Notamacropus eugenii: one gene and its partner. The protein of the gene in region 1 binds, or shares a complex with, the protein of each later gene. Links are inferred from orthologs where the notes say so. Each region holds a gene or a part of one and is shown on either strand. Other genes may lie near its edges.

The links. The genes of interacting proteins can lie anywhere in the genome.
Region 2: the proteins of PTPRG (region 1) and contactin-6-like are in contact, whole or in part, in a crystal structure (PDB 5E5U), measured with the Mus musculus proteins. The link is inferred for Notamacropus eugenii from reciprocal best matches to the Homo sapiens genes PTPRG and CNTN6. Residues at the interface, in NP_033007.2 of Mus musculus: Val225, His226, His227, Lys229, Phe288, Thr290, Gln292, Gln293, Asp294, His295, Val296, Lys297, Ser298, Val299, Glu300, Tyr301; in NP_059079.2 of Mus musculus: Arg129, Val132, Arg135, Gln138, Gly139, Val140, Val141, Leu142, Leu143, Cys144, Gly145, Met222, Gly223, Tyr225, Glu226, Pro227, Lys228, Glu230, Leu252, Asn306.

What each region holds. Positions count from the first base shown.
Region 1 is NC_092874.1:463,240,142-463,247,318, forward strand, and holds the start of PTPRG (receptor-type tyrosine-protein phosphatase gamma), read right to left. Parts: upstream 3,152-7,177; 5' UTR 2,852-3,151; coding exon 2,767-2,851; intron 1-2,766.
Region 2 is NC_092874.1:445,591,260-445,599,434, forward strand, and holds the start of contactin-6-like, read right to left. Parts: upstream 3,231-8,175; coding exon 3,197-3,230; intron 2,283-3,196; coding exon 2,156-2,282; intron 1-2,155. UniProt on the Homo sapiens protein: Contactins mediate cell surface interactions during nervous system development. Participates in oligodendrocytes generation by acting as a ligand of NOTCH1.

The DNA.
Region 1 (7,177 bases):
GGTGAGATTTTCGGGTGTTCTTTTTTTAAGAGACTCCAGCCCTAAAGGATGAAAAAAGCTCAGCAGAGCCCCTACTGGCCCATTGTCATTATTACACCTTTAGAAAATGGACTACCAGAATTCTCTAAGATTCTGACATTTTTAACTTTCCCAGGCTTCCAGCTCCCATAGCTTCCCTCCAGGGCTTTCCTTTCCAAATCGGCTTCTCTCCCCACCCCACCCCCATCGCCCCGGCAGGCTGATTCCATCCAGGCCAGGGAGAGGGACCAGGGGTGCCTGGCAGTCACCTGGCCAGCAATTGTATCCAGGGACGGAGAAGAGAAATCTGGGCAAAGAAGGGGAAAAGACAGCCCCGTTGAACTGGTATCAACAGTGTTCCCTTTCTGGATTCTGACTTTTCTGACACAGGGAAAATTGAAGACAGAGCAGGCTTGTTTCCTGTCTAATGCATCCCAGAGGTACAGAGAGAGCCAGATGTTTTGTTTCCATTTTCCTACATTTGGCAATATTTCTCAGCCTTTCTCTTACCCCTCCCTATGTTTTCCAATGCCCCACAACCCCTAGGAAACGTGACCTTCCACCATCAAGAAGCGGGAAAAACTACGGGTACAATTCACCCCTTAAGAGAATGGGATGGATAGGGAGGGGGGAGGAAATATGGTTAGAGGTACCTGGAAATGAGAAGAGGGAGCTTTCAGGAGGAAATTCACCACCAGATCAAAGTGTGTGTGTGTGTGTGTGTGTGTGTGTGTGTGTGTGTGTGTGTGTATGTGTGTGTGTGTGTGTGTGTATGTGTGTGTGTGTCTGCTGGGGGGGGGGTGACTAAGGGCCTATGGTTAGGGAAACTGGACCATCATCTATCTGCCTAGACCTAGGGCTGAGACCCCGAATCGGCTACAGGAACCCTGCTGGAGGTGGGCAGGGCACTAATGAGGGGGTACAAAGCAAATCCTCTGGCCATTCAGAAAATGGGGATGCATAAGAGGCTTTCTGTACCCAGAACTAAAAGCTGCCCCCCATCCCTTCTCCCTCTTACACAATGCCTCCTTCCCCAGTAGTGCCCACTGGAGCGGGGGATGATGGGGACGATTGGAAGGGGGTAAGGGAAGACAGTAGGGTCTGCTCAAGGAGGGGCTGGGTGGCTGTGGAGCAGACGGGGCGCCCAGTCCTGGAGCCTGGGGCAGACGCTGGATCGGTGCTCGCTCTCTTTCTCTCCCTCTCTCGGGGGTTCGCTCGGGATTCTGCTTAGAGGAGCACTGCGCCAAAAGCCGGCGCCTCGGCCGCGGGAGGGGGAGCAGAGTCGGGCTGAGGGAGACCGGGCACCGACGGGGAGAGCCGGGGGAGGAGGGGAGGCACCCGGGCTCCGATAACCCCTCACTATGACAGTCCCCCTCTTTCCTCTCCCTCTTCACATCACACACACACACACACACACACACACACACACACACTCACACACACACCCCTCCACCCTCCACCCCAAGCTAGCATAAGGAGCCAATGAGTGGCTTGCAAATCTTGGAGAATGGGGAGGGGGGGCGGTGCAGACAGACTTAAGCCTGTGAACCCCAAAGAGCAAGCGGCCAGAGGCAAACTGCCCTCCTGGCCCCGGGGGAGATTGCACAAAGCAGAGACTCCAGTTCTCTCTCTACCACCTCCACCCCTCCGTGGGGTGCGGCTGGGGCCCTCTTGGTGGGGAGGGGGTAAACCCGACTACCCCCACCCTCGGGCGGGGGATGGTACAGATGGCTTGGGGGGGGAAGGGGAAGCGAGAACAGTCGAGCCTGGGAAGCCCCAGTTGGGGGGCCAGCGTCTCTGGGTTCTGGAGAGCCGCCACTGGGATCGTTTCAAGTTCATGGCTGGGCTCGCCCAGCAGCGACGGCGGAAAGGGCAGTGACTCCCGAGGTTCAGTTAGGAGGCAATAGCGGCGACCCCAGCCCCACACTCCCACCCTCGGGGGTGTACCACCGGGACCTCTCCCCCTTCTCTCCCCACCCCCAAGCCCGAATTAAGAAGATGAACCTCCGCCCCACCCCAGCAGTCTCCCAGCCAGCTGCCCAAGGGAGGCGCGCGGTTAAAAGGGAAGGAGAACTTGGGAGACAAGTGGCCCCAGGCTAGTGCCCGGGTGGAGGGGGGGGGGCCGGGGGCAGCAGAACCTCAAGCCCCCGCCCCTGCTTCCACAGCGACCTTCGCTTCCTTCTTAAGCCCAGCTACTCCGAGGGCCCCCCATCCAGACCATCTCCATTTCCCGACTCTAAGCCTCCAGGATCCAGACGCCTCCCGTTCCCCCAAGCTGCCCGCGACTCTCCCCGCCGGGTCTGCGCCCCCACCTCGGCCCCCAACCAAGGTGCCCAAGCCAGCTTCTGCCTGCTCCTCAAGTCCCGGAGCTCTTGCAGTGGCCGGGTCTCCTGAAAGACAGAGCCGAGACGGGGGCTCGCTCCCTGGCGCAAGCCAACCGGGAGCTGCGGGGGGAGACCAGAGGGCCCCAGCCCCCTCCCCGGCCCTTCGAACCCCAGCTTTCCCAAGAAGCCAGCCTGCCCAGGTGGCGGCGACGGCGGCGGTAGCAGCCCGGCGGCGGGAAGAAGGGAGGGAGGTAGTGGTCAGCGAGCCCGGCCCCCTTTCTCTAGTCTCTGCCAGCCCGGTCGGGCACCGGCACCCCGGCACCCCGATCCCCTCCTCAGCCTGCGGCACCCGGCCAGGCACCGGCAGCCCGAGGTCTCCCAGAACCTTAGCCCTCCCACCCACCCCCAGGTGGCTGCTACTCACCCGGGAAACAAACGACATAATGGAGCACGGAGCTGGTGATTTTCAAGAAAAAGATCCACCAACACGGTTCCAAAAGCCTCCGCATGTCCAAAAACGCACATCGAAAGGGAGGAGGCAGCTGCGATGAACTTGTTAAATAAGTTTCTTCTCTTCCCTTTGCCTTTTTCCCCTCCTTTTCACTTTTCTTCTTCTTTCTTCCACTCCCCCTGTCGCCCCCACCCAAAGTCCTTCCCCCCCACCCCCCAGGAAACAACCAATCACCCCAAATGAAAAGTAACAAGGCAGAGGAAGGCGCCGGGAGCCGGGATGAGGGGTGGGGGCAGAGTCGGGGGCAGGAGAGAGGGAATGCCCCGGGGGCTGGGGGAGGCCGGGAGGCGGCGAGGTCCGAGGGCTAGCCCTAGGGAGCGGGCTCCAGCAGCCCGCCGGCCGGCCGGCCGGCCAGCCAGCAGTGTGAGCCGCAGCTCCGGTAGCTCTCGCTCCGCTCGCTGCCCCAGGCCTAGAGCGGCAGAGCCCGGGCTGGAGAGAGAGCCGAGAGCGAGAGGGAGCGAGGGAGCGGGCACAGACTGGCCTCCTCCGAACTTGGGGCACCGGCGGCGGCCCGAGGCGGCTGGCGAGGCTGGCGAGGCTGCGATTCCGCGTCTGCTTCAGGCAGGCAGCTCCTTCCAGGGCCACGGGAAGGAAGGCATGTTGGCTAAAGGGGAAGGGGAGGGTGGAGAGCCGGGGAGGAGGAGCGGGAGTCCAAGGAGGACCTGCGGCGGCGGCCAAGGAGAAGAGAAAGGGCCGAGCGAACGGCCAAGGGCAGCAGCCCGGGGAGCTCAGGGCGCGGAGCGGGCGAGGGGGGCTCGTTCAGTCCATGCTCCAGAAAGTTGTGGCTTCGCTGAAGGCTGGAGAGGAATGAGCAGAGCTGGGCTGGAAGCTGTCCATTCTTCCATACAGGAAGTAACATGTGAGCTGGGATCCTGGCAGAGACTTTAAAGCGGGAGAGCGAGGGAGAGCGAGCGAGAGGGGAGGGAAGGGAAGGGAAGGGGAGGCGAGGCGGGGGCGCGCAGGCAGAGGGGGCGGCGGGCTGGGCGCGCGCACCCTGCGGTCTTAAAGCAGCCGCGCACTCGGGCAGCCTGGGGAGAGCAGCTCCCCCCGCCCCGCTCCCGTTGGGGATCTCTCGTGCGCGCCGCGCGCACCCCCCCCCCTCCTCCTCCCCTTCCTCCTCCCCGCGCTCTGCCTCTCTACGCGCGCCCGCCGGGGAGACACACACCCATGCACACATGTGAGAGCGGGGCACCCGGCGCTGGCTTCGGGACCCGTCTGGGGGGCGGGGGGCGCAGGCCGAAGGGGGGAGAGGCCAGGGCCGGATCCCAAGGAAAGGACGAACCTGCTCTGCTCGGCTGCCCTCGCCCCAGAAATCGCGCACGCACACACGCACGCACACAGTGCGGGAGCTCTTCTGCCCGCCTCGCACACTCACTACCTGCTCGCGCACAAGCATCTACATTTGGCAAAGAAAAGGAAACAAAACCCCGGCGGCCCCGCGAGTCTCGGGCTGCCTGGGCTTCTTCCTCTGCGCCGAGATGGAAAGGTGGGAGGCAGGACTGGGGAGGGGGACAGCGATCCTTACTCCTCAAGTGCCCCCCCGCACGCTCACGCGCGCACACGCACACACGCGCGCACACACACACACTCACGCACACACGCGCACACCGAATGCGCCCCCCGGCCACCCCTGCCCAGGGTGTGCACAGCTCGCAGAGGGCGCAGCCTGAGAGACCCCCCCTTCCCCTCCCTGTCCGGCTCTCTCGATCGCTCTCCACCCCCACCCCCCGCTCCGATCCCCCTTCAGAGGCCGCGGGGAGATGGCTGCGCGCCTCCAGCCCGGCTGCCAAGAAAGCAGCGCCCGAGGCACGGCTGATTTCCCGTTTGATACCCGCGGAGCGGAGCTGCCGCTGCCTCTTTAGCCCTGGCGTTTAAATAAAAAGCTATCTGGGAGACGCGTTCCGGGGGAAATGGGAATGGGTCTTATCTGTAATGAGTTTCGTTCCTGACTTTCTCCCGCCGGGGAGATGGTATCAAGGTCTCCCTTCGCCTCCTAACCAGGGCTGGCATGGGGGCTGCGGTGGGGAGAGAGGGAGCGGACTGGGGAGGCCGGGATAATTAGCCACTGTAACTGAGCTGAGTGTCATTTGCCATTTTGTGATCGTGAATAGGACGGACTTTTCGAAATAGCATCTTTCTGAAGGCCCTTGTGTCTTCGTTTGTCCCCCTCCTCCTAAGGAGCAGGAGCCCCCTCCCTCTCAACCCCCTCCACTCTAAAAAGCAACAGGATGTTGTTTTTAAAACAATATACAGATGTTCCGAGGCCCTCCACGATATGTGATTAGGAAGCAATTTTCCACCCACGCATGCACAAGGAAAACCTTTGAAAAGTTACATTTGGGATTATAAACTAATAAAAAGTCAGGAAGTTTCCTGCCTTCATCCTTGACATAATGGGGTGAACATCTCCTCAGCCAAGAAGCAGGCTTGATTTTTTTGGGGGGGGGACCTGCTTCCGGGTTTTGTTGGAGATAGGTCACACCCACAAATGCATTCATACATGATTTGGGTAAGGGACCCGGGGACAGTGATCGGGCTTAGAATGAAGCAAGAGGCGTGCCTGTGGGAAATTGCAAAATTCTTTGCATGACTACCCTCCCCCTTCCAGCTTCTCCCTAAAACAAAGGCCCGGCTTACTAACTCCAATACTCTTCCAGTAATATTGCCGGCTTCAAGACTCCCAAGAACTTAAGTTAAGGATCACCTAATGGGGACAATGATGAGGTGCTTGGGGGCATGAGCATATTGCAATACATGACCACATTTTGAAGACAAGGTCTAAAGGATGGCATGAGAGAGATATATGTCTAGGGCATAAGATGGGGAGTTCACAGGCAAGGGGCAAACATCCCTCTTGCTCCATATTTATTAATGAAATGACTTGGGGGCTGAGGGGGGCAGGAGAGACTCACTTTGGGTGGACCACCAGTGGTAAGATTCAGAGAAACAGGCACGCAAAATGGGCTGCAGAATATGAGGGGAATGGACTTGGATGACCACCAAAGTCCTTTCCAGTTCTATGTCTATGAATTCAGGACCAATGGAAGCCAAGACCAATTGTTAAATCACTGGAATTCATACCTACCTAAGTTACATCACCAGTCTCAGAAGTATTCAAGTCATAAGGGATGTTCACATTGCTTAAGGAGTCACCTTTTTTTTAATTTTCTTTTTTGTGACTGTTTTTGGTAAAACAATATTTTATTTTTTCCAATTACATGTAAAAATAGTTTTCAGCATTCATTTTTAATAAGATTTTGAGTTTCAAATTTTTTCTCCCTCCTACCCTCCTTCCCAAGACAGCAATCTGTTACAGGTTATACATGTGCAGTCATGTAAACATATTTCCACATTAGTCATGTTGTGAAAGAAACAGAACAAAAGGTAAAAGACACATATGCACAAAGTGAAAACAGTATGCTTCCATTTGCTTTCAGACTCCATGGTTCCTTCACTGGATGTAGATAGCATTTTCCATCATGAATTTTTTGAAGTTGTCTTGGATCAATGCATTGCTGAGAAGAGCTAAGTCTATCATAGTTGATCATTGTAAATGTTGCTGTAACTGTGTTTAACGTTCTCCTGGTTCTGCTCAATTCACTCAGAATCAGTTCATATAGTGGCATTGCTGGATCAGAGTATCATAGTTCAATTACCCTTTGAATATACTTCCAAATTGCTTTCCAGAAGAGTTGGAACAGTTCACAACTCCACCAACAATTCATTAATGCCCCAATTTTCCCACAATAGGTATGAAGCAGTACCTCAAAGTTATTTTAATTTGCATTTCTCTAAGCAATGGCTATTTAGAGCATTTTTCCACAACTATAAATAGCTCTCATTTCTTCATCTGAAAACTGTCTATTCATATCATTTGACCATTTATCAGTTGGGGAATGATTTGTATTCTTAGAAATTTGACTCAGTTCTCTCTCTCTCTCTCTCTCTCTCTCTCTCTCTCTCTCTCTCTCTCTCTCTCTCTCTCCACACACACACACACACACACACACACACACACACACACGAGAAATGTGGCCTTCATCAGAAACTTGCTGTAAAAATTATTTCCCATATTTCTGCTTTCCTTCTAATCTTGGTTGTGTTGGTTTTACTTATGCAAAATCTTTTTTAAATTAATGTAATCAAAATTACCCATTTTGCATTTCATCATGTTCCCTATCTCTTGTTTGGTCATAAATTCTTTCCTCCTCCATAGTTTTGACAGGTCAACTATTCCTTGCTCTCCTAATTTGCTTATGGTATCATCCTTTATGTCTAAATCATGTACCCATTTTGACCTTATCTTGGAAAAGGGTGTGAGACG
Region 2 (8,175 bases), about 18 Mb from region 1:
CAAAAATCATTATAGCTGAGTCTAATGCAAAAGTAAAGTTAGAATAGGTTATGTCATGACAGTCTGAAACTGAAAAATAATTTTGATGAATCCTCGCATGTGAGTGCTAAGATATATTTTCTGAAAGTCCTTTTGCCTGTGTGTTGTTTTTATTGTTGTTGCTGAAACACTGTTTAGAGTTTATCATTTTAGGTTTCACTACATAGTTTGGGGGTCACTTTCCCCATGTTGAGATATTAGTATTTCTTAGGGTAATATTAATGATGGTGTCGCAGAGGTTAGTTTGATTTGGAAATGAAGACAGAAGCATTTTGCCTTTGATCCTAGATGCACAGGGATTTAAAAAGTAATGACATCCCAGCTCATCATCAAAAATCCTGACTTTTTTCAATCCAAACATTTCTTTATAGAAAAAAAAATAATTTACAAATTTTTCTTCAAATAATGATCACATTCATATTTTAGTATCTCTCTTGTGAGGAAATTAAGATAAATATCTCCAAATGTGAGGTTCTAGTAATTCTTAACACAGTTTGAAGTAATAGTTTGTCAATATGGGACAAAAGGTGGGGGTATGTTTGGTCTCTCTCCTACCTTTACCTTTACTCACTTGGCTTCATAATTATAGTGTGTATAGGCTGAGTCTTTATGCATTGTAGTAAGTCTCAAATAAATTCATGAACAAAAATCATTGAGCAAACCGACAATTCAGTTGGTGTTACCTATGGCTACTCAAACATCTAGACAAATGCCAATTCAGACATATTATCTTCAAAAGGTAAAATTGTTCTTCTATAAATCTACCATTAATTCTTATCAATTTATAAAAAGATTTATGCTTTCAAAGTGAAATAATTCAATTTATGAATTGATGTTGAGACAGAGTTAAGAATAAAAATAGTCTCATTCCTAAAATACTTTGATTTATTCTTTAATATTTCCATAAATAGATTGATCTATACATAATATAGTTCGACAAAAATTTGCAAATGTATACATATAAGTTCATATTGGGTTGAACTGCAAAGTGGCAGAAGCCAGAGGAAAGAGGACTCTTTCATCATAACATTTCTTGGAGGCGTCCTATCCTGTCCAGTCACTTATCTCTCCTTCTTCCTCAGAACCACTGTCATCCTCAAAGAGGGGCTGACCTCCGTTGTCACAGTGCCCTCAGGAAGGAGGCCTGGTATGGCAACTATTTAGCAGACAGGCGAACTGGGATACACCTCCTGCACGCCTGGCAGAGGCAATGGTGCAGATTGCAGAAGTGGGGTGGGGAGGGGAAAAGGGAGGGCTGTAGAGGACTGTAGAGGAGAAAGCTGGGGGGAGGGTGCTCAAATCCTATAGCTGCCGCTTCAGTTCCATGAGGGCTATTCTGAATTTCTGTCAGTTGGATCTTGCTGCCAGTTTGCACCTGTAAGCAGAGCCCAAGTAGTGATGGCGTTTAAAGGGGCTCTCCAGAGTGGTGAATTGCTTGACTGTGAAGGCTGTGTGTAGGCTGTGTGGCCCCCTGGCCATGGGGTTCTGGACCTGGGCTCTCCAATAGCCCACAGGTACTACTGCTGACCTCAAGGGAAACCTCCCAGCCCATAGATCTGGATTTGACTGAGGAGGACCCTCTGACAGTAGCTGCGGATAGCTCTGGGACTCGAACTCTTAGAAGGGCCCTCTGACCCCCTAAGTATCAGGGAGACGCCAAAAAGAAGATGCCCCCTGTGGCAGAAACCTCAGAATCACCTTGGCCAAAGTGTGAGGGCTTCTGGCTACTCTGAGAGAACCATTCCGCAGAATTCGTCATTGGCAGGATGATGGATGCCAAGTGACTCTCCTAAAATACTTTTTAAATTAATGTAATAATATTAGAGTTTTGGGACCTATGTATACCACATCAACACTCATGGGCATAGTGTGAGCTATTCAAATATTAGTTAACTTTTTCCGGCACAGTTATATTTCTACCTTACAAATAAATATTAAAAAAAATTATTGAATCTTTCCTTCATGATTCCCAAGATAAAAAAATGAAATAAGACCTTTATCTTATTTGCCTAGCATGAATAAGAAGGTATAAAGCTTTATATTAGGTTCCTCTGGGATGATCAAATTTAAGCAAAAAAGCTGTCACTGACCATCACAAAGAAGACGTGAACTTCACCTGTAATCTGGTACTGGATAGCCATTGGCTGCACAATTCAAGACAACTTCAGAATTCTTGATATTCAAAGAATATATCACGTCCTGTGGCTCTTGGGTGAAATTAGGTCCCTGAAGAACACCATTGTCTGTAAAAATGAAAAAGAAATAAAACCAATGTAGTATCTCAGGTGGGAAAAAAATAACCTTTTACTTTTCATTGCAACTAAAAGATGGTTCAGTCTAGTATCTATATAAGTAACACACATTTGTGTAGTATAATAGATTAATATATTTTCCCAAGATGAAAGTCTACATTTAATTAAATCCATAAATTAACCAAACTGAAAGCATAAGTGTCATCACACCTTCGTTATGGGATGTATTTAATTCCTGTTAGATTCTATCACATTTCAAGAAACAGTGTTCTGACAATGACGTTAAAGAATGTATCATGGAGGACTCTTGAAAAATTTTATTCCTGATATTAATCCCAGGTATCCTTCCTTCTCTTTATATAACCCTCTGAGACTCTATTATATCTGAAAAAAAAAATTGATCAACTACTACTTAGAATCCATTTCTCTTTTAAGTCTATACCAATTGTTTTAGCAAATATTTTTCCCCTTTTCTGTCCACTGAGATTAGTAGTTCCTTGTATTTCTTCATTCAGCCTTGGAGAAGGATATTCATTTCAGTATTTTAGAATTTAGTGAATACATTCTGGTGGTCTCTCATCATACCATTAGGTTGAACATTAACTTCTTAGCCTCATTCTTATGTTTCAGAAGAGACCTTACTTCTCTTATATAGTATAGCAGGAAGAATATTTCCCAGGGTCTTTCTGATATGGGTTAGGTTCTTTCTTTCCCTGAAAGACAAATCACTTCCAGATTTGATTGGCCTGGAAGACTAAAACTCTGGTCTCTTTGTTGTTGACTCCTCTTCCTTAACTAAGGTCAAAGAAAGGGAGCCTACATGGGATCACTGTGTGGGAGCTAGCTCTCATTTGACCCTGCAATCATGAGTCAGGTTTCATACCTCAGCAACCACTAATTATTACAAACTAAAGCTTTATTTATTGTCCCATCGATCATCTACACAGAAGAATATATTACTAGTACAGATTAAACTTAAAAGTGTCTTGGTTTCATTTTTTAATCAGTTAAACATTAACCATCACAATGGATATTGTTCTATTAACATTGCTTGAGTTTGCAAAAGTTTAGTAGAAAGTTCAGAGAATGAAATTAGCTGAAGGTTCGGAAGCTACAGGCTAACAGCAACAACAGCAACAAAATATTGATGATAATGATAATAATTATAATAATAAACTGGCATTTAGACATCTCTTTTAAGTTGGAAAGTGCCTTACACTTTATTAATCATCTGAGCCTCACAACACACCTATCAGCAACGCACTTATCTCCCTGTTACAAGATTTGTTCTCCTATTCATTACATAAATATTTATTGAATTCCCACCACAAATAAGTCATCCGTTAGTTACCCTCAAAGACATAAACATAACAAAGAATCATTTTTGTTCTCAAGGACCTCACAACCTAATTGTTATTGCCAAAATTCCCCTCAATATGTACTAACCAGAATTGTACACAGATTCGCAAATAAAAAGGTGATATATTACTTTACGCGAAAACAGAGTAATATTTAGTGCTTGGTTTCCAAAATTTTTTCCTGATAATATTTATCATTTTATTGGCATAGAAGTGTGTTAAACTCTTATCTTCAGAAAAGAATCCATGATGATTCTAGGTTTCCTTTGTGTAGTTATAACTATATGTTAAATTTAAATAAGAAAAATAGTTTATAATAAGCACATTCCGCAGTCCCCATCCAACTCCTTGCTCAATGAAAGCTTCCACATGACATGCATATAGACACACAAACGTATGTGCATACACACACACACCAAGATGTACCTTAAAACTTTATAAAGCCCAAGTTGTTTGCTTAATTACTCTCTTAATTTATCCCACTTGACCATCACTAATAAAGGCCCCACATTCTCTTATACTAAATAAATACACAAATACACGTACACACACAAATATGTATATAAATATATGCACATATATGCACACACATATGTATATAGGTTCATCACAGAGGCACAAAACTTTCCAAGTGATCACTTGCTTGAGAGAGGGCTCCAAAATCCCAGTTAAGTATAAAACTTGTTGATGCTCAAGCACAGGAAATTTGTTGAGCTTTCCTAAATCCTTGCCAGGTTATTATTAGAGTTTTACATGTCCATGTACAAATCCTTACAAAGTCCCCATTTCCCCTTTCCAAGAATCTGTGGGTTTCTCAAAACTACAATTTAGTTTCCATCATTTTTCACCTGACTCTGATGGCCTGACCTAATTAAAGATGCATGCCTTACAAGTAGATCAGAGGTTCCCAAGAATTCGTTTAGTCCAGTAATCTTTAGTTGGTTGTTAGGATTTTGAAGCCCTCTGTGAAAAGTTTCTCAGAGGTCAGTGAAATTTTAATTCTCTTTCTGTTCATTTCAATTTTCCTTTCCTCTTCACTTTCTCTTTTAGTTTCTGTCATTTACTTGAGTTCACTGTGACCACCATAATCAGCTGGCACATAAGTATGGGCCTTGTTAATTTTTTATTGATAAGCCCTTGCATATATTCCTGAGATTCCAAGTTATCCAGAGGCATCTAGGTAGCATAGTGTGGAACAAGAGTACAGGACTTGGAGATAGAATATTTTTTAACAAAAATTCATTAAGCACCAGCTCTGTGCCAGGTACTACGGGAAGCACTTTACAGGTATCATCTCATTTGATCTTCACATCAACACTGGGAGGTAGGTAATTTTATTATTCCCATTTTACAAATTTGAAATATTCAGTGACTTTTCATCCTCTTCATCCAAATGTCATGAGATAACGTAAAGTCACCAAATTCAACCAACTGAATTGTAATCCAAACAATTTAAAAGCAGAGATACAATCTGTTTATTCAAGTTTGGATAGCATTTCTTTGCAAAACATCTATGTTATCTTTTATGTATCATGATCAGAACAGACATATGACCATGACTGACATTTGTGCAGAAGGATTCTCAAAGAAATCCCCCAAACCTGCTGCTCAACTCCATTTTGAGTGCAGTTCCCTCATGCCTTCTTCTTATCATTTAATATTGTCCCTCTGAGCTTCTTGCAAAACAAGGCATTATGTGAATGTTAGCTATTAATACCATCATCAGTTTGGTTCGAATATAAATGTGGGAGAGAATAAAAAGTCAAAAACACAGAAGACGTGCCATGTAAATAGGTAGCTTCCCAACCTGCCATCAGTATCTGACGTCAACAGTTTATATTGTGGTACATACTGATGGGAATATACTGTATCTATAATCTATGTGAATAAGCAGGTATGAGGGACATTCTATAGTGGAAGGCATCTGAAACCTTCTGTGGCATGTCATTATCATAAATACACATAGAGAACCTTGTATTTAATTATTTGATTTTAATTTAAACTCAAGAAATTGGCATTGGGGAGGAGAAAAGAACAGAGGACAAGACACAAAGATACAGAAAGAATGAAGAAAAATCATAGTAAGAGTTGCAGGTTATTTCAAATATTCTTAGGAATCTACTGTTTTCAAGGTACTTTTTACTATTATTCTAATGGTAAAGGGTAAAAAAGATCCTGGAGACATCACATGGATTATTGAATATTTTTTGGAAGTTCTTGGTTTATATTTGGATTTATTTTACAGTACAAAAAATGGTACTCTGAGCACATGTAAGTTGGCCATCTGCACTCACAGATGGAAACACACTATTCAAATACTATGTCTATTACACTGGAAACGTTTTGGTAAATTATTAACTATGTAGACATTTTTATGATAAGTATTTCTGGGAATAGAATAAAAGACTTTCAGAACATACATTATACTGGATTTGACATCAGGAAATCCAAATTCATGTCCTAGCCATACCATTTATTAGAATTGCAATCCTGGCCAAATCAATTATTCCATCTATAAAATGGGAAGGGGTTGAATTTGGAATTGATGACAACTAAGACATCCAGTAGTGTCACACCCTATTAACATATGAGAAGGGGGTGAGAAAGGTACCAGAGAAGGGAGTAAGGTTGCATTTGTATTAAGACCTGAAAGAAGGAAAGAGGGGATAGAGAGGGTGAGAGTGGGGGTGGGGTATTGGTTGTCCTATTTGTAAGTAAATTAAGCCAAAATCACTTATTTGCTACATCCAAATGGCCTTAGACCATATTTCACATCCATCTACCAATGTATATGTACCTTGTTATCACAGGGGTACCCCATTTTCAGATTCTTACTACAGAAAGAGCAGTCAAATTGGTATTATTGATGTCTTTGGAAAGGGTGTGCAATAAACTGTCATAAGACCCCATATGCTATTCCTGAATCTCCAGATCAAAACTCTTTATAGTGGTCACAATCCTTGACATGGGTTATTTCCTGTAACCCATGAGTCATTTCCCATGCAAGCTCTTTCAGGGAAAGGAGCAAATGATTTTGATGTGTATCCCTAGAACCTAGAACAATGAGTAACACATTTTAGATAACTGACAAATTGTTTTCATTCATTCATTTAAGACTAAACATAGAAAATCATAGGATTACACTACAATAGGACTCACACTCAGAAATACTAATCAATTACTCTGAAAGTTTCTACCTGCATTCTTTGCCCTCTTACTATCAATCAAAAGGGATGATCTAATCAGCCTCTATTAAATAACAAAATAATGTGTACCATACCACACTCCACTCAATGCTTTTCTTTAACGTAAATGATAGAAGTCCACTTTTCCCACTTGAGTTCAAAAGTGAGGAGTAGGCAAGACTAAAAGCCATTATTTCTCTTCATCCTGAAGTAAAATCTGATAAACTCTTGCACATCCATAATTAAAAGCACACACAATTAATCGTGACTCTATTTGCTTTTTATTCATTAAAACAAGGTAGACTACAAAATGGATAACTTTGATTACATTAAACTGAGAAGTTTTTGCACAACCAAACCCAATGCAACCAAAATCCAGAGGGATGTAGTAAATTGGGAAAGAATTTTTACAGCTAAGCTTGGGGATAAAGGCCTCATTTCTAGAATATATAGAGAACTGATCCAAATGTATAATCATACAAGTCATTCCCCAATTGATAAATGGTCAAAGGATATGAACAGGCAATTTTCAGAGGAAGAGGTTAAGGCTATCTATAATCATATGAAAAAATGCTCTAAATCACTATTGGTTAGAGAGATGCAAATCAAAACAACTCTGAGGTACCACATCACACCTATAAGATTGGCAAACATGACAGAACAAGAAAATGATAAATGCTGGAGAGGATGTGGGAAAGTTGGAACACTAATTCATTGTTGGTGGAGCTGTGAGCGCATCCAACCATTCTGGAGAGCAATTTGGAACTATGCCCAAAGGGCTACAAAAATGTGCATACCCTTTGACCCAGCAATATCGCTACTAGGACTATATCCCCAAGAGATCATAAAAATGGGAAAGGGTCCCACATGTACAAAAATATTTATAGCAGCACTCTATGTAGTTGCCAAAAACTGGAAGTCAAGGGGATGTCCATCAATTGGGGAATGGCTGAATAAATTATGGTATATGAATGTAATGGAGTACTATTGTGCCGTAAGAAATGATGAACAAGAAGACTTCAGAGAGGCCTGGAAGGACTTATATGACCTGATGCTGAGTGAAAGGAGCAGAACCAGGAGAACTTTATGCACAGCAACGACCACAGTGTGTGAGAGTTTTTTCTGGTAGACTTAGATTTTTGTAATAACACAAGAACTTCTTACCAAAAAAAAAAAAAAAATCCCAATGGAGGATCTCAAGGCAAAATGCCTGCCACACTCAGAGAGAGAAATATGGAAGTCACTCACATATTGTAGCAGATCATGTTTGTATATGTGTATGTGTTTGTGTATCATGTTCTGATTTGTTATACGATTTCTTTCATTTATCTTAGTCTGACT